Linked DNA regions of Coturnix japonica. The protein of the gene in region 1 interacts with the protein of each later gene in a biochemical or structural test. Links are inferred from orthologs where the notes say so. Each region holds a gene or a part of one and is shown in the gene's direction. Other genes may lie near its edges.

What was found.
Region 2: the proteins of DOK1 (region 1) and CRKL form a complex in vitro, tested with the Homo sapiens proteins (2 studies listed by BioGRID, with this or other methods). The link is inferred for Coturnix japonica from reciprocal best matches to the Homo sapiens genes DOK1 and CRKL.
Region 3: the proteins of DOK1 (region 1) and SRC form a complex in vitro, tested with the Homo sapiens proteins (2 studies listed by BioGRID, with this or other methods). The link is inferred for Coturnix japonica from reciprocal best matches to the Homo sapiens genes DOK1 and SRC.
Region 4: of the proteins of DOK1 (region 1) and TEC, one has a biochemical effect on the other in vitro, tested with the Homo sapiens proteins (2 studies listed by BioGRID, with this or other methods). The link is inferred for Coturnix japonica from reciprocal best matches to the Homo sapiens genes DOK1 and TEC.
Region 5: the proteins of DOK1 (region 1) and ABL1 form a complex in vitro, tested with the Homo sapiens proteins (5 studies listed by BioGRID, with this or other methods). The link is inferred for Coturnix japonica from reciprocal best matches to the Homo sapiens genes DOK1 and ABL1.
Region 6: the proteins of DOK1 (region 1) and RASA1 form a complex in vitro, tested with the Homo sapiens proteins (2 studies listed by BioGRID, with this or other methods). The link is inferred for Coturnix japonica from reciprocal best matches to the Homo sapiens genes DOK1 and RASA1.

What each region holds. Positions count from the first base shown.
Region 1 is NW_015439533.1:510,280-514,220, forward strand, and holds the start of DOK1 (docking protein 1), read left to right. Parts: upstream 1-1,141; 5' UTR 1,142-1,209; coding exon 1,210-1,272; intron 1,273-1,552; coding exon 1,553-1,852; intron 1,853-3,941. UniProt on the Homo sapiens protein: DOK proteins are enzymatically inert adaptor or scaffolding proteins. They provide a docking platform for the assembly of multimolecular signaling complexes. DOK1 appears to be a negative regulator of the insulin signaling pathway.
Region 2 is NC_029530.1:7,302,009-7,306,297, reverse strand, and holds the start of CRKL (crk-like protein), read left to right. Parts: upstream 1-1,489; 5' UTR 1,490-1,997; coding exon 1,998-2,311; intron 2,312-4,289. UniProt on the Homo sapiens protein: May mediate the transduction of intracellular signals.
Region 3 is NC_029535.1:4,438,549-4,442,787, forward strand, and holds the start of SRC (proto-oncogene tyrosine-protein kinase Src), read left to right. Parts: upstream 1-1,439; 5' UTR 1,440-1,703; intron 1,704-4,239. UniProt on the Homo sapiens protein: Non-receptor protein tyrosine kinase which is activated following engagement of many different classes of cellular receptors including immune response receptors, integrins and other adhesion receptors, receptor protein tyrosine kinases, G protein-coupled receptors as well as cytokine receptors.
Region 4 is NC_029519.1:60,016,314-60,019,813, forward strand, and holds part of TEC (tyrosine-protein kinase Tec), read left to right. Parts: intron 1-994; coding exon 995-1,035; intron 1,036-1,266; coding exon 1,267-1,448; intron 1,449-1,779; coding exon 1,780-1,845; intron 1,846-2,574; coding exon 2,575-2,629; intron 2,630-2,785; coding exon 2,786-2,865; intron 2,866-3,229; coding exon 3,230-3,363; intron 3,364-3,500.
Region 5 is NC_029532.1:4,620,324-4,623,297, forward strand, and holds part of ABL1 (tyrosine-protein kinase ABL1), read left to right. Parts: intron 1-1,994; coding exon 1,995-2,974. UniProt on the Homo sapiens protein: Non-receptor tyrosine-protein kinase that plays a role in many key processes linked to cell growth and survival such as cytoskeleton remodeling in response to extracellular stimuli, cell motility and adhesion, receptor endocytosis, autophagy, DNA damage response and apoptosis.
Region 6 is NC_029547.1:54,365,730-54,370,011, reverse strand, and holds the start of RASA1 (ras GTPase-activating protein 1), read left to right. Parts: upstream 1-1,482; 5' UTR 1,483-1,721; coding exon 1,722-2,110; intron 2,111-4,282. UniProt on the Homo sapiens protein: Inhibitory regulator of the Ras-cyclic AMP pathway. Stimulates the GTPase of normal but not oncogenic Ras p21; this stimulation may be further increased in the presence of NCK1.

The sequences.
Region 1 (3,941 bases):
CCTGCAGCCTGAGTCGCACGACTTCATAAGGTGGGAAGAACACACGTGGCTTTGTTACTGTGGCCCATTCATGCAGGAGGATGAAGCGTTGGTGGCCTCCTGCACACGGGCGCTGCTGAGGGCCCTCCCAGCAGCTCTCACTACCTGTAGCGTTTCCATCTAACCAGCCTGCATGGGTTGGCATAGAAGAAATGGGTGTCAGAGGCCAACAGCCAGGATCTGCGGCATCCTCCTTTCCCCCTTGCAGGTTCAGGCAGTGCAGGGAGGCCAGGTGATGCTGTCTGGGCGTGTGGGGAGTGAGGAGCCTGCGAGCAACTGACCGGCTGCAGCCCGACAGTCAGAGTGCACCGTGGGCCAGCAGAGTGTGCTCAGAGCTCAGTGACACGCAGGCAGCTGCACAATGCAAGGAGCACTCAAAGCATGTGAAGATTCAGTCCCTGGGTGGGGCAGACACGATGCTGCTCATAACCAGAATCGTGCTCATCGATAAAAGCTGCACCAGGGCAGACAATTATACTGCAGGAAAGCCAGCTGAGTGCTGCCAGGCGGGGTTACTTGAGCAAGCAGCCCCTCCTGGGGCTGGCTGGGCACAGGCCATGATTGCTCACCTCCTGCACAAAGCTGTGCTGGGTTGTGCTGCGGGGACAGGCTGGGCTCCAGGTTGGGTGGGCTGCAGTGGCCAGGCCCAGCTCAGGCAGTGCCGGGTGCCCAACCTCCATCCTGCACCAGCAGCCATATCCCGGTGCCACCAACCGCTGGGGATGTCAGGCTGCGTGGAGCCCAGTGAGGGGTGAAGGACAGTGCCCCGGGCAGTGCCCTTCTGTCCCTTTTCTTTCCCAAGTGTGGATGCAGTGTGTCCAGTATCCAGACTGTATGATCCGATGCAAAGCCAAAGCACTGCGGGGCTGCTCTCCTGGCTCTGCCGGGCGCGGTGATCTACGCACACACGCATGCACACACACATATACACATACATACACACGCACATACACACATATACACATACGCACACTCACACACACACACACACACACACACAGACCCACGCACACGCCGCCCACGCACATTGCTGCTCATTGCTGCTCATTGCTGCTCATTGCTGCTCATTGCTGCTCTCGGCCCCTCCCGCGCGTTCCCTCACGTGCTCGCCCCGCCCCGCCCCGCCCTGAGCCCGGAGCGGCGGCGGAAGCGCGGGGAGCGCGGAGCGGGATGGAGCCGCCGGCCAAGGAGGGGCCGCTGTTCGTGCAGCACAGCAACAAGTTCGGCACCAAGGTGCGCGCCGAGGGGGCACGGGGCGGGACGGGGTCGGTCGGTCGGTCGGTCTCCGTCGGTCTCCGGGCCGTGGGTCGCATCGAGCCGAGCCGAGCGCAGCGCTGCCGAGCGATGGGGGCCGCAGATTGCTCCGCTCGGGCGGCCGCAATGGGAGGGAGGGAGGGAGGGAGGGAGGGAGGGAGGGCGGGGGCGGCCGTGCTCCGGGACGGGACGGGACGGGACGGGACGGGACGGGACGGGACGGGACCGGGAGGCCCCGCGCTGACTCGGTGCCTTGCAGCGGTGGAAGCGGGGCTGGTTCGCGCTGTTCCCGGCCAGCCAGCACGGCGTCGCCCGCCTGGAGTTCTTCGATTGCAAAGAGCCGGCGGGTCCGGCCGGGCGGTTGGGGACGCGGCGCCTGGACAAGACGGTGGTTCGCCTGGCGGACTGCACCAGCGTCAGCCCCGCGCCCGCCGAGAGCGGCCCCCGGGCCGGCACGGCCGCCTTCCGCCTGGAGACCAGCGGGCGCAGTTACCTCCTGGCGGCCGAGCGGCAGCAGAGCGACGAGTGGGTGGCCAAGCTGTGCGAGATCGCCTTCCCGGTGAGCGGGGCGGGGGGCGGGGGCGGCATCTCGTGTGTCGGTGTCGCGGCCCCGACGAACCGTCCCGAGGCACCGCGGCCGTTCAGGGGCTGCCCCGCGAAGCGGCTCCGGCCTCGGCAGCCGCCCGGGTTGGACTCGTGGGGCCGCCCGGCTGCTCAGCACAACGTCCCCAGGGGCTCCTGCCTGTGCCCCGCGCTCCGGGACATCCGCTGCGCTGCTGCACGGAGCCCTGCTCAGCCCCTCAGACCTGCTGAGGGCTGGAGGTGTGTCCCCGTCGGTCCCAGCTCTTTGCCTTTCCTGCAGAGGCAGAAGCTCAACACTGAGTGGTGCAGTTTCCAGCTCTGGGACCCGTCAGGCTCCTGGGAAGCACCAGCAGCTCTGGGGACAGAGCAGCCCCTCACCGAGCCTAGGGGTCACTGTCCAGTGCCAGCATCAGTGCTGGCCCATGGCTTCCAGCTTCCCAGCCCTTCCCAGCCCCTCCCCAGGGCTGGCTATCAGCTGCCTATTGCATCCTTGAGAAGGCAGATCACAGGGCAGTGGTGGCCTGTATGTGTTGGTGTTTGCATGGCTCTATGACAGGTCCCTGCCTGTCTGATCCCACATGTGCCCTGTACTCATTTTGGGGTGGGAGAATTGGTCACTGCTGGGCAGTGCTTCCAGACTCAGGCTATGGATGCAGGGCTGGGCTTCCCTGTAGGACCTCCCTGCAGCCATCAGTGACTGGCCCAGCTCAGAGGCACTGGTGGCACCGGGAGTCTTTCCATGTCTGTGGCCCTGTGTCATGCAGACTGTATTGCAGCCTTTGTCCTAGGCAGGGTTCCTGGTGCTCAGCTGGGAGCCCACCACCCACCTTCATTATGGTGGGGGCAGTGATGAGTGCTTCCTTGGAGCAGTGCTGTGCTAACACCTTGGTTCACCTGGTAGCTGCCAGTTGCAAACTTGGGGTCCAGAAGCTGGTCAGCAGCTTAAGGATGAGTTTGACAGTGCTGTGAGATCAAGGGGCTGTACTGAAGGCCTGCCCTGGAGCACAAGGTGTAGGAGCTGCTGCATGTGATCTATGCAAGAAGGTGAAGGTGCTTGGTTGCAATTTCTGCTCATCTGCTTGGAGAGTGAGATTTTGTGTTGTGTTAACTGTGGTCCAGGAGGTAAGCAGCTTGGGAATGGCCCACAGAGATCATTTGATCCTGGGTTGCATCAAGAGAATCACAACCAGCAGGTTGAGGGAGATGATTCTGCCCCTCTACTCTGCTCTTGTGAGACCCCACCTGGAGTACTGTGTCCAGTTCTGGGGCCTCCAACACAAAAAGGACATGGAGCTGTTGGAGCAGGTCCAGAGGAGGGTCACAGAGATGATCAGAGGGCTGGAGCACCTCCCCAGCAGGGGCAGCATGAGGGAGCCGTGGCTTTTCAGCCTGGAGAAGAGGAGGCTCAGAGAAGACCAGATAGTGGCCTTCCAGGACCTGAAGGAGCCTACAGGAAAGCTGGAGAGTGAGTTATTGAAAGGGCATATAGTGACAGGACGAGGGGAAATGGCTTTAAACTTAAAGAGGGTAGATTTAGACTAGGTAATAGAAAGAAATTCTGTCCTGTGGGGGTGGTGAGGTACAGGAACAGGTTGCCCATTGAGGTTGTGAACGTCCCCTCCCTGGAGGCATTGCAGGCCAGGCTGGATGGGGCTGTGAGCAACCTGGCCCAGTGGAAGGTGACCCTGCCTATAGCGGGGGGTTGGAACTAGAGGATCTTAAAGGTCCCTTCCAACCCAAACTGTTCTGATTCTTTTTCTTTTGAGCATGAGGGAAGGTGCAGTCCAACAAAGCCCCTGGGCATTCTTGGCTGCCTGCTCCCAGGTTGAGCTCTGCTCCATTGGATACTTCAGGAGGGCAGAAGATGCTGCTGTCAGCTCTTGGACTTTGGGTTTTAGCAGCGCATCCTGTTTAGAAGCCAGAGAGAATCTGTTGGCCTTGTTTGGGCCTTACTTCTCACAGGGGAGCTCATGTGACTAGTTTTAAACTGAAACTGCAGCAGCTTGCCTTCTGCAAGATGTGCTGCAACCCCGGCCACGTGACCCTGGGAAAGTTTCCTGCTTGGT
Region 2 (4,289 bases), on another chromosome or scaffold:
TGATACGTCTAACAGGTAAGTTTCCCTAAGAGAAAAGAAGTTTGCATGGATGTGAATTTTCAGATGGAACTATTCATCTCTAGCCCTATTGTTTTGCTTGTGTTGCTCTGCATGATTAAACAGCTGTTGTTTTCCACCCAGGCAATGGCTGTACTCAGCAGCTGGTGAAGCGATACCTGCACATGTATTCAGGGCCTAGTTTAAGATCCTTCTGTATTAGTGATGTCACAAGATTTTCCTGAATATTTTTGCTAAAACATAAGGATCTGAGATAGGCGAGCTAGCTTCCATTGTTGTTATCTGTGCTCAGAACAACCCAAACACCTCAGCTGGTACCGGCTGCCAACATAGAAAATAAAGTGAAAAGAAAACTGGCTATGCTGTGATCAAGTCTTTTAACAAACAGTGTGCGAAGGGAAGAAGGCAAAGCTGGAGTTCAGCCTGCACAGCATCCAGCTTGGGCAGGTTGTGACATCTACCCCCAATCTTGCTTCTCCACTTGAGACGTTACTTACTTCACTAGGCTTTGTTTCACACTAACAGCCTCAAAAGTAGAACAAAACAAATAAAACTGAGTGCAATCACAGATCTGACCTAAAAAGCAGTGTTTGCAAATGTCTGTAGCACATTTGTCCTGTCCTTACCTAGGGCAGCCGGGCACAGAGTGATGCCTGAAATCAGACCCACTACCACAGCTCGTGCTGCTCCTCCAGCTCACAGCAGCACCCAGCACTGCTGGGCCCTGCTCAAGCCCTTCCCGGGCCTTCTTTCCTACTCAGCCAGCACCCCAAAGGGCTTTGAACTCCTCATCTGAGAACACCACAAGAGAGGAAACTCAGAACGCTTAGGAAACCAACACCATAAGTGCTCAGAGGAGGCAATGTGGGTGCCAACTGCATGCGGACAAGGAGCCCAGTCACAGAATCACAGAATGACCCGGGTTGGAAGGGACCTCAAGGATCATGTAGTTCCAACCCCCTGCCTGGCAGGGCCACCAAACATACACCTTTACTAGATCAGGTTGCCCAGGGCCCCGTCCAACCTGGCCTTGAACACCTCCAAGGACGGGGCATCCACAACCGCCCTGGGCAGCCTGTTCCAGGGCCTCACCACTCNAACCTCCCTGTGCAGCCTGTTCCAGGGCCTCACCACTCTCCTAGTGAAGCACTTCCCCCTGACATCCAACCTAAATCTTCCCTCTTTTAACTTAAAACCATTTCCCCGTGTCCTGCTATTGTCAGCCCTTTCCAAGAGTTTACTCCCCTCCTGGCAGTAAGTTCCCTTCAGGTACTGAAAGGCTGCAATGAGGAGCTGTGAGAGCCCAGGGTCTCACAAGAGGGGCCCATATAGCAGCACACCAACTCCACCGGCTCCCCGCACACACCTCCAGCCCAGCACCAGGCGGACACTTGCGGCACAGCCCCCACCTCCCCGCTCTCCCCTCACGCTGCCGCGGGTTGTAACGCGGCTGCGCGGGGCGGTGTCTCCGTCGGGCTCCCACTGCCCGGCGCCGCCGCCATTTTGGTGCTCGGCTCTAAGAGGGGAGGGAGCCCGTAGAAGAAAGCGGGAGCCCGGCGCTCTGCCCCTCCCGTTTCCCCTGGTCCGGCTTTAAGGCTCCGTAGCCGGATACTCCTCGCCACCTTCTCGGGCCGCTCATCTTTGCCGCTCGCCGCCGCTCCTCGCAGCTCTGCCCGGGCCTGAGAGAGGCGGGAAGGAAGGATGCTGCCCCGCACACCGCGCCGCTGAGCACATCGGGGCCCTGAGCGCCGCGTCTGGCCGGCCCCGCCCGGCCGATCCTCGGGCCTGAGCGGCACGGGGCTTCCATCTCCGCATCTCCCGTCCCCGAGTCGCCCATCCGCCGGGCTGGGCGCTTCCTCCTCGCCCCCGGCCCTGCCGCCCGCCCGTCCGGGCCTTCCCTTTCCCCGGCTCTCCTCCTGCGGGGCCTCCGGGCTCTCGGCCTTCTTCCTCCCCTCCCTCACCCTTCCCCGGCCGGAGCCATGTCTTCCGCCGCCCGGTTCGATTCGTCGGACCGCTCCAGCTGGTACGTGGGCCCGGTGTCGCGGGCGGAGGCGCAGACGCGGCTGCAGGGGCAGCGGCACGGCATGTTCCTGGTGCGGGACTCGTCCACCTGCCCGGGGGACTACGTGCTGTCGGTGTCCGAGAACTCCCGGGTGTCCCACTACATCATTAACTCCTTGCCCAACCGCCGCTTTAAGATCGGCGATCAGGAGTTCGAGCACCTGCCCGCCCTGCTGGAGTTCTACAAGATCCACTACCTGGATACCACCACCCTCATCGAGCCCGCGCCCAGGTGAGTGCTGCAGCTCTGCCACCTCGGAGCTCCGGGATCTGCATGATGGGGGTCCTTTGCTTTGGAACTCTTTCTGACAGGGATCTCGGAGATGGCTGTAGGCTGCTCGTTATCCTCAGTATAGTGCATAGGACCCATCCTTATGATGAAAACAGGCAGATGCAGAGGCTCTGGGAACATCCCTGCCACCCACTATAATTGTCTTGCAGGAGGGTGTGGTCTTGCTTTGTATCAGCCTTCTGGTATTGTCCCCTTGCTGGGAAGGCTGAGAAGCTGGCTCAGAAGTCTTCCCGTCCCTGGGAAGAAACACGGGCCTCAGAACTCAATTGCTCTTTCCTCACACCCACAGTGATTCCAACAGGTCGTGCCTTTGTGATTCCTGCTTCATCGTTCTGATTGAATTCTCATGCATAATAAAACATTGTTTCCCAGACTTCTTACCCAGAAAAGGGTAAAAGCATTTCTCTCTGTCTGGCTATGGCACTCTTTGTCTTTGTGTATGCAGGCACTAAGAAACCTTCTCTTAGGAGGATGGGAAAATGTGACTTGGCTGTGAGCTCATTCTTTGTCCTGCACCCAACACTGGGCATACCTGCAGCCTGCATCACTAAACAGCTTACCAGTAACTCTAGAACATATTTATTTCATCCTCTGTGCTTGCTAGATAAAAGAAGGAGAAAAGCTATTAAAATAGTGATCCAATTAAATAATAATAATAATCAAATAGCTTCAATTCTAAACTCTGCAGCCGAAGGGGCTTCTTTCAGGTTAACAAGTTCCTGGGAGGGAGGGCAAATAACTTTCAGTTTTAGAATCACAATTTAACGTTATCATAATCCAGTTCTTAATCACAATCAGTAAGTTGTCAAAAGCCAACCGTAGCATCACATTGAAAAACACAAGTGGTCAGCAGGCTCATGGAGCTGTCAGGTGGTGGGAGGAGCGTGGCAAAGTTCTGGCCTCAAGAGCTCCTAAAGCTGCTGAGAAACCTCCTAGTAGCGGTTGTGCTGTGGCTAAAGAAACGGGTAGGTGAAAAATTCCCTCCTCTTTCACAGGTGCAGAAACATTTAAGGAGCTGCACAAGGCTGTGTGTGCATTTAAACTTACGGACACAGCCTGTTCTGCAGTGATGCTCTTGCTCATCTCTGTTCTTGTTAACTTGGGCAGTGTCAAACTTCTCCGAAAACAACCAACCTCATTCTTAGTCACGGACAGCAATGACTTGGCTTTCGCAACTTAAACTGAGTTGATCCCACTTGTTCTCTTGGTATTTCTGTCATACCTTGCATGAAACATTTCCTGAACATCTTAGTACCACCTTATTTTCAAGGCTTTCAATACATTCAAATATTGGTGCTCTCAGCACACAGAGACGGATGGGACCTGGCATACTGCGAACTGACAGGCTCCCTTATAAAGCTACAAAGGCCATTGAAGTGGTTATCCACAGTATAATTCTAGTTCTAGAATTTTGGACAAAAATCACTGATGTGGTTGATGGTTTGGACTTCTGTTTATAAAAGAAACTTTGCGGTGCAAGAGGGAGAATGAGAGGTAGCACTTCCAGCTTTACTTTCTTTAAATTAATGGACTGGATTTAGAATAGGGGTGGACAGGAGTTTCTTTCAGAACTGTTATGGCTAATCCTCATTTCTCTTTAAAATCTGGCATTTTCAGTGGAACACCTCAGGTGCTTTTGTAGGCTGTTCTTCTGACTTCATGATGTGTGTATATATATAACATGTATATAAATATATATAAAACATATACATATATATATATTAGAAAGCAGTATTTGTGGTATGTTACTTTCAGCAGCTATTAGTATTTCATTTTGTATTTTATGAAGAATGTCACCTTATGCTGTTACATATTCAGATATTCAGGGAAAGGTGAGTACTCTTAAATAGAGCTGAAGCTGTGACAGTAAGATCAGGGAGCTTAATCCTGTATTTCTTTCCAGAATAAAAGGGAAATG
Region 3 (4,239 bases), on another chromosome or scaffold:
TACTCAGTGAGAGTGACTTGGAATTGGAAAGCACCTGCCTTTCACTTCTAGTTTCAGCCTCTGCATCCCTCTCTGCCCTGCCCCCCCACCGTGTGTTTTTGGTGCTACTGAAAGGTGAAGAGAAAGAAGAAAGAGGTTTCAGGGAAGGGAGTGGAATGCCTCACAAAGAGCATGGGTGGGATGGTGAGAAGAGCAGGGCTGGGAGTGGGGCAGGAGGAGAGGGCAGCTGGAGGGCTGCAGGTGAACGCGCCTCGGGCACAGAGCTGAGCCGTGAGCCGGGAGGGCCCCTGCCAGGGTGCTGCGAGGGCACGTTGCTGAGCCAGAGCCCCAAAGAGGAGAGGCTGGATGCCAGGAGTGTCTGGTGGCCATTTTCAATGTGGGTCTGGGCTCAGCCCGTGCAGCAGCACCTCGGGGCTGGGGCCGAGCCCGGTGCCCGGGGCTGTGCTGCCTGCAGGAGGCTGCGGGGCTGTGGGGCTGGGGCAGCCGCTGTGGGTGCAGCATCCATCCATGCCCTGCTATGCCCTGTAGAATTAACAACACCGAAAGGACTTTCCACGGACACCAGGCTGCAGTCTGGGGCCGCAGCCTCCAATTCATGCAGGGAGCGATGATCAGGCTGCTCCTGGCAGGAAGGCCCCCCCGTGCGATGCGCTGGCCGGTGGGGACGGCTCGGTGTGTGCATGACTCCCGGTGACTCATGGGTTTGTTGGCCCTCGGCAGTGTCACGGGAAATATTTTTTTAATAACTCAAATGAGCCGGGGGAGGGGTGCGCACTGCAAACAAACTCAGTCACCCTCCGCACTGATTCTGAAGCGCTGGAGTTTCCAGAAGCCCCCGCTCTGGTCGCTGTGAGGGGCAGCACGAGGGGTGGGCACGACGTCCACGCTCGTGGCTCCACGGGGAGGCTCACGGCACGCTCTTCTTTCCCTGTTTATTCCCCTGCGCTGAAGTTTTGCCTCCTCCCCGAGATCAGGGGGATGGGGACGAGGATGCAGGAGGGCGCAGAATCCATCACAAAGCGGCTGTTCGCTGCGTGCCCCGGTCGCTATAATAAAAGCGAACCGCAAAGCAGCCGGGTTGTAACCTCAGTGCAAATCACCGCTCTCCTCTCGCCGATCCCGGGCGGGCAGCTCGGAGCCGAGCTCAGAACCGCGCCGCGCTCCCACGCGTGGCCCCGCCGCGACCGGGCGGCTCCGGGACGGGGTGCGTCGGTAGAGCCGCGGGCGGGGGCGGCTCCGGTCGCTGCTCCGCACCCCGCCGAGCCCGGCAGCCCGGAGGCTTCTTCCTTAAAAGAAAAAAAAAAAAAACCCGAGGGGAGGGGCTCGGCGATTTTTCTTTTCTTTTTTTTTTTTTTTTTCCTATAAGCCGTTTCCGGTTTACTGCTGCCATATTCCTAGTTTTTTTTCCCTCCCTGTGGGCTGTTCCCCCCTTACACACACACACACACACACACACACACACACACCCCGTACAAGGGGTGATCGGGGGCGGGGAAGCGGCGCTCCGGATCCGCGGTGCTGCGCGATGCTGCCGGCGGCGCAGCCCTGAGCGTCCGGCACGGCCCGGCCCGCGGTGCGGGCACCCAGAGCGGCGGCGGCGGCTGCGGGGGGCGGCGGCCGCGCCCCCGGCACGGAGACAAAGCCGCGGCCGAGCCCTGGAGGGGAGCGGCGGGGTCCGGCCTCGCGGGGCGCACACGCGGGAGGTGAGCGGGGGCTGCGCGGGGTCCGGCGGCGGGGATGGTCCCCGCGGGGTCCGGCTGCGGGGCCGGCGGGAGATGCTCGCCGTGCGGTGGAGGATGCCCGGGTGGCAGCGGGGCGGCTCCGTAATGCCCGCGGTAACGGCGGGGCGGCTCCGGGTTGCGTGGGGCGGCCGTGGGTCCGGCGGAGAGTGCGCGGGGTCCCGGGGCCGGCTGCGGGGCTGCCGGGGGATGGGGACGGGCCCGCCGGGGGAGCGGAGGGGGGAGCTGCGGGGTCCGGCCCCGCCTGCCCGCACTCCCCTTTGTTGTGATCGGGGGCTGCGGGAAACACTGGGAGAGCAGAGCAGGGAGAGCCGGGCTGTGTGCAGGCCGGGGCATGAAATATTCATCGCCCCCCTGCTTTGATGTCTCCTGCTCCGTTTCCCTCTCGATATTCGCTCGTCGGTGATTCGGGGCTCGTGTCCGCGCTCCGCCGGGCGTTCGCTCTGCCCTCGCCCGGGGAGGCTGCAGAGCCCCGCGCTGCCCGGGGAAGGGCTGTACCCGGCCGGCAGGTTCTCCCGGAGCAGCCCGGCTGCTGTGCGTGTCTCCGCCGCGAGGAAGCACCGTGGGACTTGTCTGAACCACGCCGGGGCCTGGGTGGACTTTCCCCTGCTGACCGTGACCCCATGCAGTGCGCTCGGTCCCCGGCTCAGCCCCACGGCAGTTTGGTTTCCTCTTGACCGTCCCTTCTCTCTGCTGCCCGGGAGCTCTGAGGGTACAGGGAGCAGCTCCCGTGGGTGATGTTCCCCCACTCAGTGGTGTTTGGAGCCCGTAGGGTGCTCAGTGCCTGAGTGCTGGGAATGGGACAGCACTGATCCAACAGCATCGGATGTAAACGGAGCTGTGGGAATGTGGCAACAAAAGACTCAGTTTGGTGTTTTTCCTCCTTCCGTGCTGGTGCTCACCCCTGTCCCCAGGGATGTGATGGGGCATGTGGTGGGATGCCGGTGACCTTGTGCTTGGGAGCAGTGTGATGCTGTTGTTCCCCTGCACTCTTCTGCAGGATGATCCCCTGCTGCTGCTGCTTGTTTGTGCTGCTTCGTGCTGGCTCAATGGTTGGCCCATGGACAAACCTCTGCTGCTCAGTGTCTGAGATGAGGCTCCCTGGGGAGCACTGTGCCACTGTGAGCCTGTCTGTGATCCCACTGCACCTCTCCTTAGCAGGCTGTGGGCTGCACCCATTCCCAAGCTTTGACCTTATCTTCTTAGCTTTGGATCTTATCTGAGCACCTCGTGCTCAGGAGCTTCCCCAAAATACAGCCCGGTGATTTTGGAGCTGGGGTTGCTTATGGGCCATCACAGCAGAGGGATGTGCAGTGCTCGCTGTTAAGATTGTCAGTGGCCTTGCAGTGCTCCCTGTGTGATGGAGATGCCCTACAGATACCTCTGCTTTTGAATGACATTGTCCTGGAGTGACTCAAGATCACCCAGGTGGGTCTGTCTGTCCCAGCACAGCGAGGGAAGGGGCCGTAATTTGCAGAGTCTGATGTGTGAAGGCTCTGCTGCATACACAAGGAACAAACTGGTGGCACAGAGGGGACATGGGCTCCGGGCTGGCTCACAATGACATGTTTTAATGACCAGTGAGCACGTGCCACGTCTGGATGGAGAAGGGGTTGCAGCAAGCCCTGGGCTGGAGCACTCAGTCCACGTGCCTAAGGGGAAGCACAGCCGTGCATCACTGCTGCCCCGCACCACCCCAGGCATGGCAGGGGAAGCACCAAGGGCTATCTGCAGCACTATTGCTTCCTGTACCATCCGTCCTGCAGCACGGTTTCTAACTTGGCCCTTTATCTCTGGGAACCATTTCCCAGCTGACCTCACTTCCTCAGAGCTTCTGAGCTCAAAGCCCTCTCGGAAGTGTGGATGCAGGGTGAGCAGTGTGGGTCAGCTCCCTGGAGTGTGATGCTGTGTGATAGTCTGCTCTGCAGTCTGCTTGGCCAGGGGAAAAAGGAGCTGGTTGGTGTGGGCCATATGCTCAGTGCAGCCCTGCTCTGGTGCTGTGACCTTGGTGTGAGGGAAGTGGCACTGCTTTGCACATGCCTCTGCACATGCACAGGCTGAAAAGAAAGCCTTGAAACAGATTTCATGTGGTTTGAACGTGGGCCAGGAACCAGGACCTGTAAATCTGCGTCTTGCTCTGACTTCCCTCCAGGCTACGGATCTCCTCACTGCCCTCCTGGGCACAGAGCTGGGAATGCTTGGGATGCACTGGGAGCTGCCGGGGGGGGCAAAGCAGTGCTGGAGATGTGGAGGGGATGAAAGCAATAGTGGGGATACAGGGAGGAGAAGCTCTGGGGAAGCTGGGGTCTGGCTGGTGGCTTTGCTTCAGACCTTATGGGGGGCTGCTCCCAGCCCCAGGATGGCTGTGCTGTGCAGAGGTGTGGAGGAGCTGGAATACCCACAGTGTAACGTGAGGGGTCCTGTCTTGAGGTCTGCGTTGGTGAAGGGTTTGGAGAGGAAAATGGGGAACTGCAGCACCCGGAGATAACACAGTCTCACC
Region 4 (3,500 bases), on another chromosome or scaffold:
AATGCTGTAAGTAGTGGGGAAATTTACAGAGCAGGGTGACTCAGTGACACTGTGCCTAGATTAAATAAAAATATTTTTCATCTCCAAGCACTTTGTGTAAAAATAAACTCGTTAAAACGTGAGTTGTCCTCCCAAAAAACCATTTGGAGACATCTGCAAGGAATCACTAAGATTGCTGAATTTGTTTTCCACTTGCCTAGTTTTTCCCATCTAAAACCTGTTTGATCAAGTGTTTACCTCAGATTAAGGTTAAAACCTCATGGTGAAAAAGGTTCAGATGTAAATCTTCGCCAGTTCTTCATTTGAATAAATGACTCCTGTGAGCCTGTGTAGAAGAATAACAACCCTGCTGGAATCAGAGAAATTACGCTGATGTGAAAATGGTACAAGAGGGCAACCAGGCTTACTGAATTTGCAGACACATGGCTCAGGTTTCTTAGAAGTTTGCAAATGTCCAAATGCTGAATCTGGATGAGACATCGCTTCTGAATGCATGTGACTCTTCCAGCATGCAAATCACAGCCTGTGCTTGTTCAGCAGTGTGTGCTGTGGCATGTAAAAATGTGAAAGCATGACCCTCAGCATAATATTGTTCTGCATAACAGTACAGTAATTATTTGACTTTGAACTTAATGTAAGGAATCCTCCTTAGTAAGAAAAGAAGTGGCACCAATGCTCACCTTCTGGTGAAATCAGGTGGTTCCCTTGATCACAGCCTTGAGTGGCAGTGGTTAGGAACAGTGGTTTCCATTCCATAAAAGGATTGCTTGTGGTTGCCTTTACACTACAAGACCTTTTGAATGGAAAAAAACTCAGGAGAAAAAAATACTTTTGGACCCAAGAAGTAATTTAAAAACTTTAACTCTTTTTATATAACTTTACACATTCCTGTACAAGAAGTATTTATTGACAGGGCCTGCTGTGGACATTGCTTACTGTCTGAGCTAGCCTTTTTTGATAGGATACTTAATGCTTTTCTGTGCTCTCTTTCTAGGTGTAGTAACGCTGCCTTTGCCAGTGCCAGAAAAAAGTATGGTAGGTATCTGCACTACTGGCAGAGAGGGTCCAAAAATAAGAACTATGGGGGCTGCAATGGTGTGAATGTCCCATGCATGCCTTAGCCTGACCTTTGCAGCTCCAGAGTGGGGCAGTCCAGTCTTTTGCTTTTGTAGTGCTCGATTGGTTTGCAGGGGTGTAATAGCAGAGGTAGGGTGGTGGGGAATCACAGAGTGGAGAGCAATGATGATGATTCTGTGTCGTTTTCAGCGAAGGCCACCACCACCTGTTCCTCCAGCTGAGGAAAATGACAACGAAGAGGAGGAGGTGGTGGTTGCAATGTATGACTTCCAGCCCACAGAACGTCATGATTTAAGGTTAGATAAAGGTGAAGAATATACAGTAATTGAGAAGAATGACATTCACTGGTGGAAGGCGAGAGACAAACATGGGTAAACATGAGTTTCTTACTTTTCCTTATAATGTTTTTCAGGCTATTTTCATGTTTTAGTAGTTTATATTGATTGTGTGTTAACAAATAGCTGAAATTTGCACCAATTCTGTAGGCTGTGTAACTCTTTAGATGAAGGCTAATGGGGAAATGCTGATGTGGAAAATTCATTACTGAGTAATTAGTAGATTGGGTAGCTTGGTTAAAAATAGTAATAATAATAATAATAAATGAATGACTGCTAGTGACCTGTGGTAATTAACAGAATTTATACTGTCTTCTAGGCATGTAATTTTATGTCCTTTTTTGCTAAGAGTGAATATATTTTTTAGGCATGAAGGATATATCCCAAGCAACTATGTAACAGGAAAGAAGTCTAACAACCTTGATCAATATGAGTAAGTGAACATTTAAATTAAAATGTGAAATACCATAATACTTAAAGCATAGCTTTTATTTTACAATGCATTTATTTCTGTTTTGAAACCTTATACTGTTGTAGATGTTGAAAGCAGTGCTGTCTACTATAGCACTGATCTGGGAGATTAAATATTTTAAATATGTAAATATTTTTTCTGTTTCTCCTTGCTGTTTTTTGTTGTGGTTTATAAGGTAGATATAAGACAGAGATGGCCGTTAGGCAAGTAGTTTCTAGAATATTAGCATTAAAAGCAAAAAAAAACCCAAAACAAACAAAAGTAAAAACTTAACAAAAAAGTCTCCTGATAGAAAAAGAAAATTATCCATTTTAAACATGCAGAATGTTTTTTAATATTAAAGTGATATACCTACCCAGGATGTGGCAGGAAGATAGAGGAGAGAACAGCGGAAATTGTACAAAGTAAATGTAAGTAACATCAGCTATTTTGCAAGGAAGCTCTCAAATTCAACAAAGTGTTTCGCTTGGCGCATTTGAAGTCTCAGTGTACTCATGCAGTATATCAGATGTGAAAGTACAGAGAGGTTTTTTATGTTTTATTTTTCTGATTTATTTATGAAGTAGATATGTAAGAGCACCAGGACAAAAAATTATCAGAATGGTAACTTTGCAATATTTGGTTTTAAGCCTTTTACATAAATTGGATGTCTGGGAGAACTTTTGGTTAGTTGCTGATGTTGTGTTGCAGGTGGTACAGCAGGAACCTGAACCGCAGCAAGGCAGAGCAGCTCCTTAGAAATGAGGTGAGTACAGCAGCCTTGTGTACAAACCACGGCATTTTCTTAAACCTATTTAAGCTAACGTTTCATTTTGACATGTGCGAATCACAGAACAAGAATGAAGGATATGAAGATTAAAGTTATTTGTGGTATAAAACTGTTAATGTGCTTGTATTTTAGGACAAAGAAGGTGGTTTTGTGGTGAGAGATTCAAGTCAGCCTGGCTTGTATACAGTTTCCCTTTATACAAAATTTGGAGGGTAAGTTTCTGTGCCCACCCTGTATACTTTACCTTGTCTGAATTTGTGTGAGTGAGTGTACACTGAGACTCTTGGCCTAGAGGGGAGGCCAGGAGAGAGCTCAGCAAAGAGGGGGAGGGCTGCTAGTTAGAATATGTGGGTGACATAACATCAGCTTCTTGACTGTGTGCTTAAGCCTCATTGGGTTTAATGTAGTGTAGATCTGACCTGCCACTGAAAGGAGGCTCTGACATGCTTTTGAGTCTTTTCCTTTGTGCCAGCCTATGTGCTCACGTGGGGAGCTGAGTTGAGGAGCAAGCCAAAATGAGAATTAATTCATGTGGTTAATATTCAACAAATGACATTATTTTACTTGTTTTTTCAGAGAAGGTTCATCAGGAATAAGACACTACCATATAAAAGAAACAGTGACATCACCAAAGCAATACTACCTTGCAGAAAAACACCTCTTTAACTCCATCCCAGAAATAATTGAGTATCACAGACATAATGCAGCAGGTAAAGGGACTGAATTTTTCCTGTTACTATGGGTTCTTTTGATAAGGAATCTGGTTTTTAACGAAGGCTGTTAGGATGTTATAGATCCTAGATATAGAAGACTGCATTAAGCTGCGTTTCATATTATTTCAGTACAC
Region 5 (2,974 bases), on another chromosome or scaffold:
CAAGCCCCATAAGGGAGGTTTCTTCACTGTTCCATCACACCAGTTTTGTGCTTGGAGCACTGAAGAGTATTACTCTTGGCAGGTACCAAATATAATTGCAGCAAGGGACAAAGAGGTATTTACAGAATCTTCCATGAAATTAAACTCTATTCAGTCTGTTTCTCCAAGCATTTCTCTTCCATTCTGAGGTAATGAACGCAGTGCTGAGGCACTGAATGTATACAGTAGATTCGTATCCAGTTTGCTTGAAAAACAGCAAGATAAAAACAAAATGCAGTGTGTGATAAACACGCCCTGTCTGACCATTCCTGTGAGTGACCTTTTCTGGATGACGCCAGACTCACCTAGTGGTACATCTTTCAGTAGCAAATGTACATCTCGATAAAGAAAGGGGAAAACACACACACAAAAGGGAGTGTAAAATGCTGGAAAAGTGACGGTGACTGAAACAGGAAAGAAAGTTATTCACAGAATGTACTGATTTCTGAATTGACTTGTTTGCTAATGAAAATAACAAAGAGCCTTCTGTTTCTATTGGAAAAAGATTTGAATAGTGAGCTCACTATTTTTGTTATAACTTAATTAATGCAATGTAGTGTTAAAGACCGATGGCAAATCCAGCCCGCTGTATACAGGAGGTATAATTGCCTAGTTTTGTAAGCTTTGAAGTAAAATAACTTCATTTAAATACTTAAGGACTTTGAGAGATTCAAGTGCAGCAGGAACAATATGATTTTAACATTATGCTGGGTATTATTTCAGTCTTTATTGTGGAAAAACACATATTTCCTATAGATGTTTCATTGCAATTTCCTGTTTAGTTGTCAGTGTTCTCATAGTCCAGTGGCTGGAAGCTGGTCCTTAATGAAAGCTACTAGTTTTCCCTGGGTCTCCAAAGCCCCACTGTGTCTGAACAGCACTGTCTGAAGTGCTGTAGGAGCTCTGCTGGTTTGTTGAGGTCTGCCTCAGTTTACATGTGAATGGTTCAGTGGCACTTAGTCCTTTGGAATCATACTCTTTTCCCTATGTACCAAACTGTTTTTCTTCTGACTCCTTCCTCAACCAAAATCCTACCCTCAGCATGATGATCACCAGTATGTGACTGAGAAGCAGCCTTCTTTTGATCTATGTGTCTGCTTCGTCTCCCTTCTTACTACCTACTTGAGCTCTAAATGTATATGCTGCCCTAAAGGCATTGCTCTCTTGAATTAGCATGCCATCTGAGTGCCTGGCCTGGAATGAGACCCCCAGTCAGTCAAATACAGAGACATGCAGGACCCAGCATAAATTTATTATAAACCACTATTCATTTTTAAATACCTCTTGTAAGTGGAGAAAGGGTCACCCCACTGTTTTCTTCTGGAGCAATCCTGCTGAAGGAGGCTGTTATTCCCACTTCCCTCCACTACTGTGCTAAGCTGGTGATCTTTCTGGTGATGTGACCTGAGGCATTCAGCTGCCAAGGGATGTCTTGGTTTTGCTTGTGAAAGAGTTATTTCCATTCCCTATGAAGAGCGACGTCAGGGAAGGAGGTTAGGAGTATCAGAAGCTAAAAGAACAAGGGTGGATTACATAGATTTCTTATTAATTCGGAGGGTCAGACGTTCTAAAGGCAGCAACCTCACAGGGACCAAAAGAAGCAGCATCATTGTATTTATCTTCTTCTCAGTACGAAGTTCAGACAAGTCTCTAGATGCAAGGATGGGAATCTGAACATAAACAGTTTGTGTTTGTATATTGCTGTTTAAATCAGAAGCCTACAGGGAATGTAGTTTGGCAGCCAAGTCTGGCCACCTCACAGGTGAGTGTGTGGAGGATTAAGGATCACATTCAGTCTGGGCTTCTGTGTAGCTGTACTTGAATTATTCCTGGTGGTTTTCTTTTCAGAACCTGCACCTTTTTTGGAGGTGCTGAAATGGTTTAGATCGTGGAAGAAAGCAGCTTGTCCTGGGTACTGAAGCAAAGCTCAGTAGTCTCTTCTCTTTCCCTTGCAGACCCTCTGGACCACGAACCTGCTATTTCTCCTCTGCTGCCACGGAAGGAGAGAGTGGCCCTGGAGAGCAGTTTGAATGAAGATGAGAGGCTGCTTCCAAAAGACAAAAAGCCCAACCTCTTCAGTGCCCTTATCAAGAAGAAGAAGAAGACTGCCCCCACCCCTCCAAAGCGGAGCAGCTCCTTCCGAGAGATGGACGGCCACTCGGACCGCAGGGTGGGTGGGGAGGAGGAGTGCAGGGATGCTGGCAATGGAGCTTTCGTTGCTCCTCCCACAGAAGCAGCCGACCCCTCTAAGTTTCAAACCCCAAGCAATGGGGCCGGTGTCACCAACGGGGTTGTTGCTGGGAACTCTGGGTTTTTGTCTCCCCACTTACGGAAGAAGTCCAGCACAATGAGCAGCAGCCGGGGGGTGTCTGGGGAGGAGGAGAGCAGTTCCAACTCCAGCAAGCGTTTCTTAAGGTCCTGCTCAGCCTCCTGTGTGCCCCACGGTGCAAAGGACACGGAGTGGAAATCAGTGACTCTGCCCCGGGATCTGCAGTCCACAGGACGCCAGTTTGATTCCTCCACTTTTGGGGGGCACAAAAGTGAAAAGCCAGCACTGCCTCGAAAGCGGGCAAATGAGACCAAGACTGACATTGCTGTCAGGGGGACAGTGACCCCCCCTCCACGGCTGCTTAAGAAAAATGAAGAGACCACTGATGATGTGTTCAAAGATGCGGAGTCAAGTCCTGGCTCCAGCCCTCCCACTCTGACTCCAAAACTTGGCCGTAGGCAACCCGCCGTCCCCCCCTCCTCCAGCGTGCTGCACAAGGACGATGGAGTCAAATCCAGTGCCTTAGGTACCACTGCGACAATGGACCAAGGTTCTGCTGCCAAACCCAACTCTGCTGCATTTGCAGGTGCCAGCAAAGCTTCTGTTGAGGAGCCGCGGCTCAGGAGGCTCAAGCAGACCTCTGAGTTGGCAGGGAAGGACAAAGGG
Region 6 (4,282 bases), on another chromosome or scaffold:
TTCTTTAAATAAAGCCTCATCAAAGCCTGGAATTCAACTTGAAAGTCTTAAAAAAGAGGAAATGCAAGTGACCCGGGGCAGATGACTTTGCTGGCAAAGTAGAAAGAAGCAGCGTGTCAGGGGCAGGGGTGAAACAACTCGGCCAGTCTCACAAGAAATTACCTTTCTGTGGAACCCTTGCCACACTTAGAACTGCTCTACCCAGATTAAATCTATTGGAGGAGTGCTGCAGGAAATTCAGAGCACAGATGCCCTGGTCTCCATGCTTATATGCGCATGCTGTTGCCCCTTTAAGTCAGTTAAAAAAGCGTGTTTCGTCGAAGCAATCATAAATATTTACACTGCAGCTCTATGTTTAGGAATATCATTTTAACAACAAGACTGTGCTGAAATCCTTTTATTTAAAAACCCGTAGGAGAAAGCAAACAGCATTAAACAGAAGCCCACGGAGCCAGTGGGCTGCAAGACAACGTGGAATTACATATCCGATTGAAATATGGCAACGTGGAAACCAAGCCCGTAAGAGATGGCTGTTGAGACTGTAATTTCTTTACCAGCACAGCAGGGCATGAACGCGCTGCCATTCTGTGAGCCCAGGGACGCAGACAGCGTCTGCTCTGACACCGGGCACGAGCCCAGCAGAGTCCCACGGGTACTCGCAGCGCTGCAGGACCTGGAATGGGATCCTGCCTTCAGAAGGCAAGATAGGAAGGTTCGTTTCGGCAGATAAAAGGAGGTTTGTCTGCAGGGCGGTGGAAGCGCGAGTAGGAGTTTGTTTTAGTGGCCTGGGGAGAAATTCACTTAATTCTTTTGGTAACACAAGGCTTTGAAAACCTGAATGTTTAGATGCCTCCTGAGAACTTTGGAGAGGCGTGCAAGTGTCAACGTGCTGCTATTTGTCAGCTCTTTTATTATGGGGGGGGAGGGAAAAAAAGAAGAAGAAGAAAAAAAGAAGATAATGAGAGAAGTATCAGCACGGTAACGGAGTAACCGGCAATGGAGTACGGGCGGCAGTGCGGTCACACAGCGGCTGCAGGCGATGCGCTGTTCTCCTCCCGCAGCACACGGCGGTGCAGCTATAACGGGGACACACAAAGCACGGGCTCAGCACGCCCCGATCGCGCCGTCCCTTCCCGCCGTGCCCCCGCGCCACCTGCCGCCTCTCCTGGCTTTTACTCCCCATACTTTCTTCTATTTTCCCTCCCAAAGGCAGCTCAGCCTCAGGGCGCACCATGGCCGCCCCTTGGCCGCACACCATGGCGGCTCGGGCCGCTCCTACCCCGCACTTTCCTCCCCCACGCGGTGCGGCCGCTCCCCCTCCTGCCCCGCCCAGCTCCACGCACGCGCTCATAGGGACGAGGCTGGGGAGCGGCGCACATGCGCGGCCCGTCCCACCGCCTCCGTCCTTCCCCCCTCCCGGCTGGCGGGCGCACGGGGGCGGGCACAGCGCGGGGCGGCCGAGCCGCTCCCCTGGCGGCCGGCGGGGCCGAGGCAGCCGCGCCGGGGCCCTGCGGAGCCGCCGTGAGCGCGCAGCCCCCGCCCAGCCGGGTATTGTTCGCGGCCCGTCTCCGCCGGGACAGTTTTGCCCTCGTCCCGGCTCCGCTCCCCGCCGGGGCGGGGTGGGCCGGGGCCCCTTTGTCGCCACCTCCCCGGCGTGCGGCGGCGGCGGCGGCTGCGGGCGGGAGGGCGAGCGGCGGACGGGAGGGGGGGCGAGGCTCAACATGATGGCGGCCGAGGCCGGAGCTGAGGACGGCGGTTCGGTTACCTCGGCCGGGACGGCGGCCGCCGCCGAGCCGGGGCACTGCCGAGGCAAAGCACCGGGGCCGCAGGGCCCCTTCGCGCCCGGCTCCAGCTCCGGCTCCGGCGGGGACAGCCCGGGCGCCGGCCCGGCTCTGTGCTCGGCGCTCGGGCTGCTGGCGCTCGGCTCCACGGGAGCCCCGCCACCGCCCAGCGAGCCGGGCTCCGCCGCCTTCCCCCCGCTGCCGCCGCCGCCGCCGCCCCTACCCCCGGCCGGAGGGCTGGCGGCCGTGGACGAGGGCGACTCGCTGGACGGGCCGGAGTACGAGGAGGAGGAGGTGGCCATCCCGCTGAACGCGCCCCCCACCAACCAGTAAGTACCGCGGCCCCCCACCCCCCTCGGTTCCGCTCCCGGAGCGCAGGAAGAGCGCGGCTCCGCGCAGCGCCGCGTGTCCGTGCGGCGGGGGGAGGCCCGGGCGGCTCCCGGACAGACTGGGACTGCGGCGCTAACTTTGTAACAGGCGGAGACCTCCCCGCTGTACAAAGCGCTGCTCTCCTCGTGTCATCCCTTTGCATTCCGTTGTTTATACCTTAAAAAAAAGCAACAAGAACAGCACAAAGAACACCCCAGCCTTTTTGTTATTTCATACAGGAATATCACGAAGGTTGCACGCACGTGTTTGCCTTCGTGGAGTAGGGAGGGTGAGGTTTGCTCACTCTGGAACGCGGGTTGGAAATGAGTAGAATTCTTCTTCTACTTTAAAATAGTGGGCGGGCTGTGCTTACAGAATAGCGCCTGACTTTGCTGCTCAGCCAGTTTAAAGCGAGGCTGATGTTGGTTTGTCTGTATGGAGGCAGGAGGCAGAGGTGAAAATCCTGCAAACCTCCTGTTGGATTTCATTCTGTTATCTCTGTTTTAAGGTGAATGGATGTCCTGTGGTGCTGGTAACAGAATTTCGCACTCTGAGCAGAGCAGTTCTCAATTTATATTGTGTGAAAAATGTAGGATCAGATAATGCTGTGTGTAGTTTGTGTAATTAATGAGCACTCCATGCACAACCTTTGGGCTGAAGCATAGGAAGTCTGCAGGTTTGTGTGTAGCACCTCAAGCCCCGTTTCAGTACAGAAAACAGTTCTCTGGGAGGGTGCCTGGCTATTTAAAAAATGGAGTTGCTTCAGAAGCTCTATTGGTTGCACCAAGTAGTGTCTAGAAATGTGTTGTTCCTGAAGTTTCCTGAGGATAGTAGATAATGTAAGGTTTCAAGGTACTGAAACAGTTGGGCTAGATGTTCATAGCGGGCTTTTCCAACCTTAAGGAGTCTGATTGTGTGAAACCATGAGGGTTGGTAGATAGTTTCAAGGCGTGGATCAGAAGGACGACCTGAAAGCCCATCTGAGTTTGGGTTCTTTGTTACATTCTTTCCCAGTACCACTCTTAAGAGACTTCTGCACCATTCGTGTATTTCCATGATTTCAGGAATCATTAAAGTCATCAGGAGGACATAAAAATGTACCGATATGAATCCCTTTTAAATTCATGTCTCTCGCTTTGACAGTCTTCCCTGTAATCTCCTGATTTCTTGACTTTCTGTAGAAGTTTGCTAACTTAAGGCAGTGTTTGAACAGTGTTTGACTGGCGTCACTAATGAGCTGGAAATATGATCAGGCAGTTCTGACAAAGGATCAGGAGGGAAATAGAGGCACACGAATGTGAAATTACTTCTTCAGGGTTGTCAAATCACTGGAGCACACAATTCTGTACTTCTGGTTTTCTCTCTGAAAATAGATCAGACTGCTTTTTCCATTAGATCCAGTTATGTTAGTCAGAGAGAGAGAGTCCTTTTTGGAAGTATCTTTAGGAAATGGGGTGACAGATTGTAAATGACCACCTGTTCGGTCCTAAATATGCAATATGGACATATGCTAATAGGAGTGGGATTTGCTGTCAGAGCATTGTCCTGTGACTGAAGTGCTGGAGTGATGTCTGTCTTTAAGTGCTTTGACAAGTGTGTGCTGAGGGGAAGGCTGTGCAGGCCCTAATTTGCTCTGGTTAACAGTACCTTATTCAGACAAAAGGGAGACAGGAGTCTTTGCAGAACCAGGGCATAACTGTGAGCTGAGCTTTCTTCATAAAAGAGAATCCTTCACAACAAATCAAGTATTGTGGAAAATGTACACGTACCTCCCTACTCTGTGTTCTTAACAGCTTTTCCTTTGCCACATAACCCTCGGAGTGTGACTTTTCAATAAAAAATTGATTGAATAGAACCGTGTTTCTCTCTCATTCAGCTCCTTTATGGTGTCAGTTTTCATCGTTCTTATTTAAGTCATTCAGATTGGCCATATGCTGATAGTAAATCGCATCCTCTCAGTCCTGCTGTTTTATTTTGGAAGGGCCCTTTCTTTGTAGATGTACCATCTGCTTCTATGGAATTAAACTCCTGATTTATTATCAAAACAAAGATCAATATTATCTATAATCTTATACAGGGAAAGGTTTGCTATAATTCTTTAGGAATAATGATTGAATTTATAGTTAAGATTA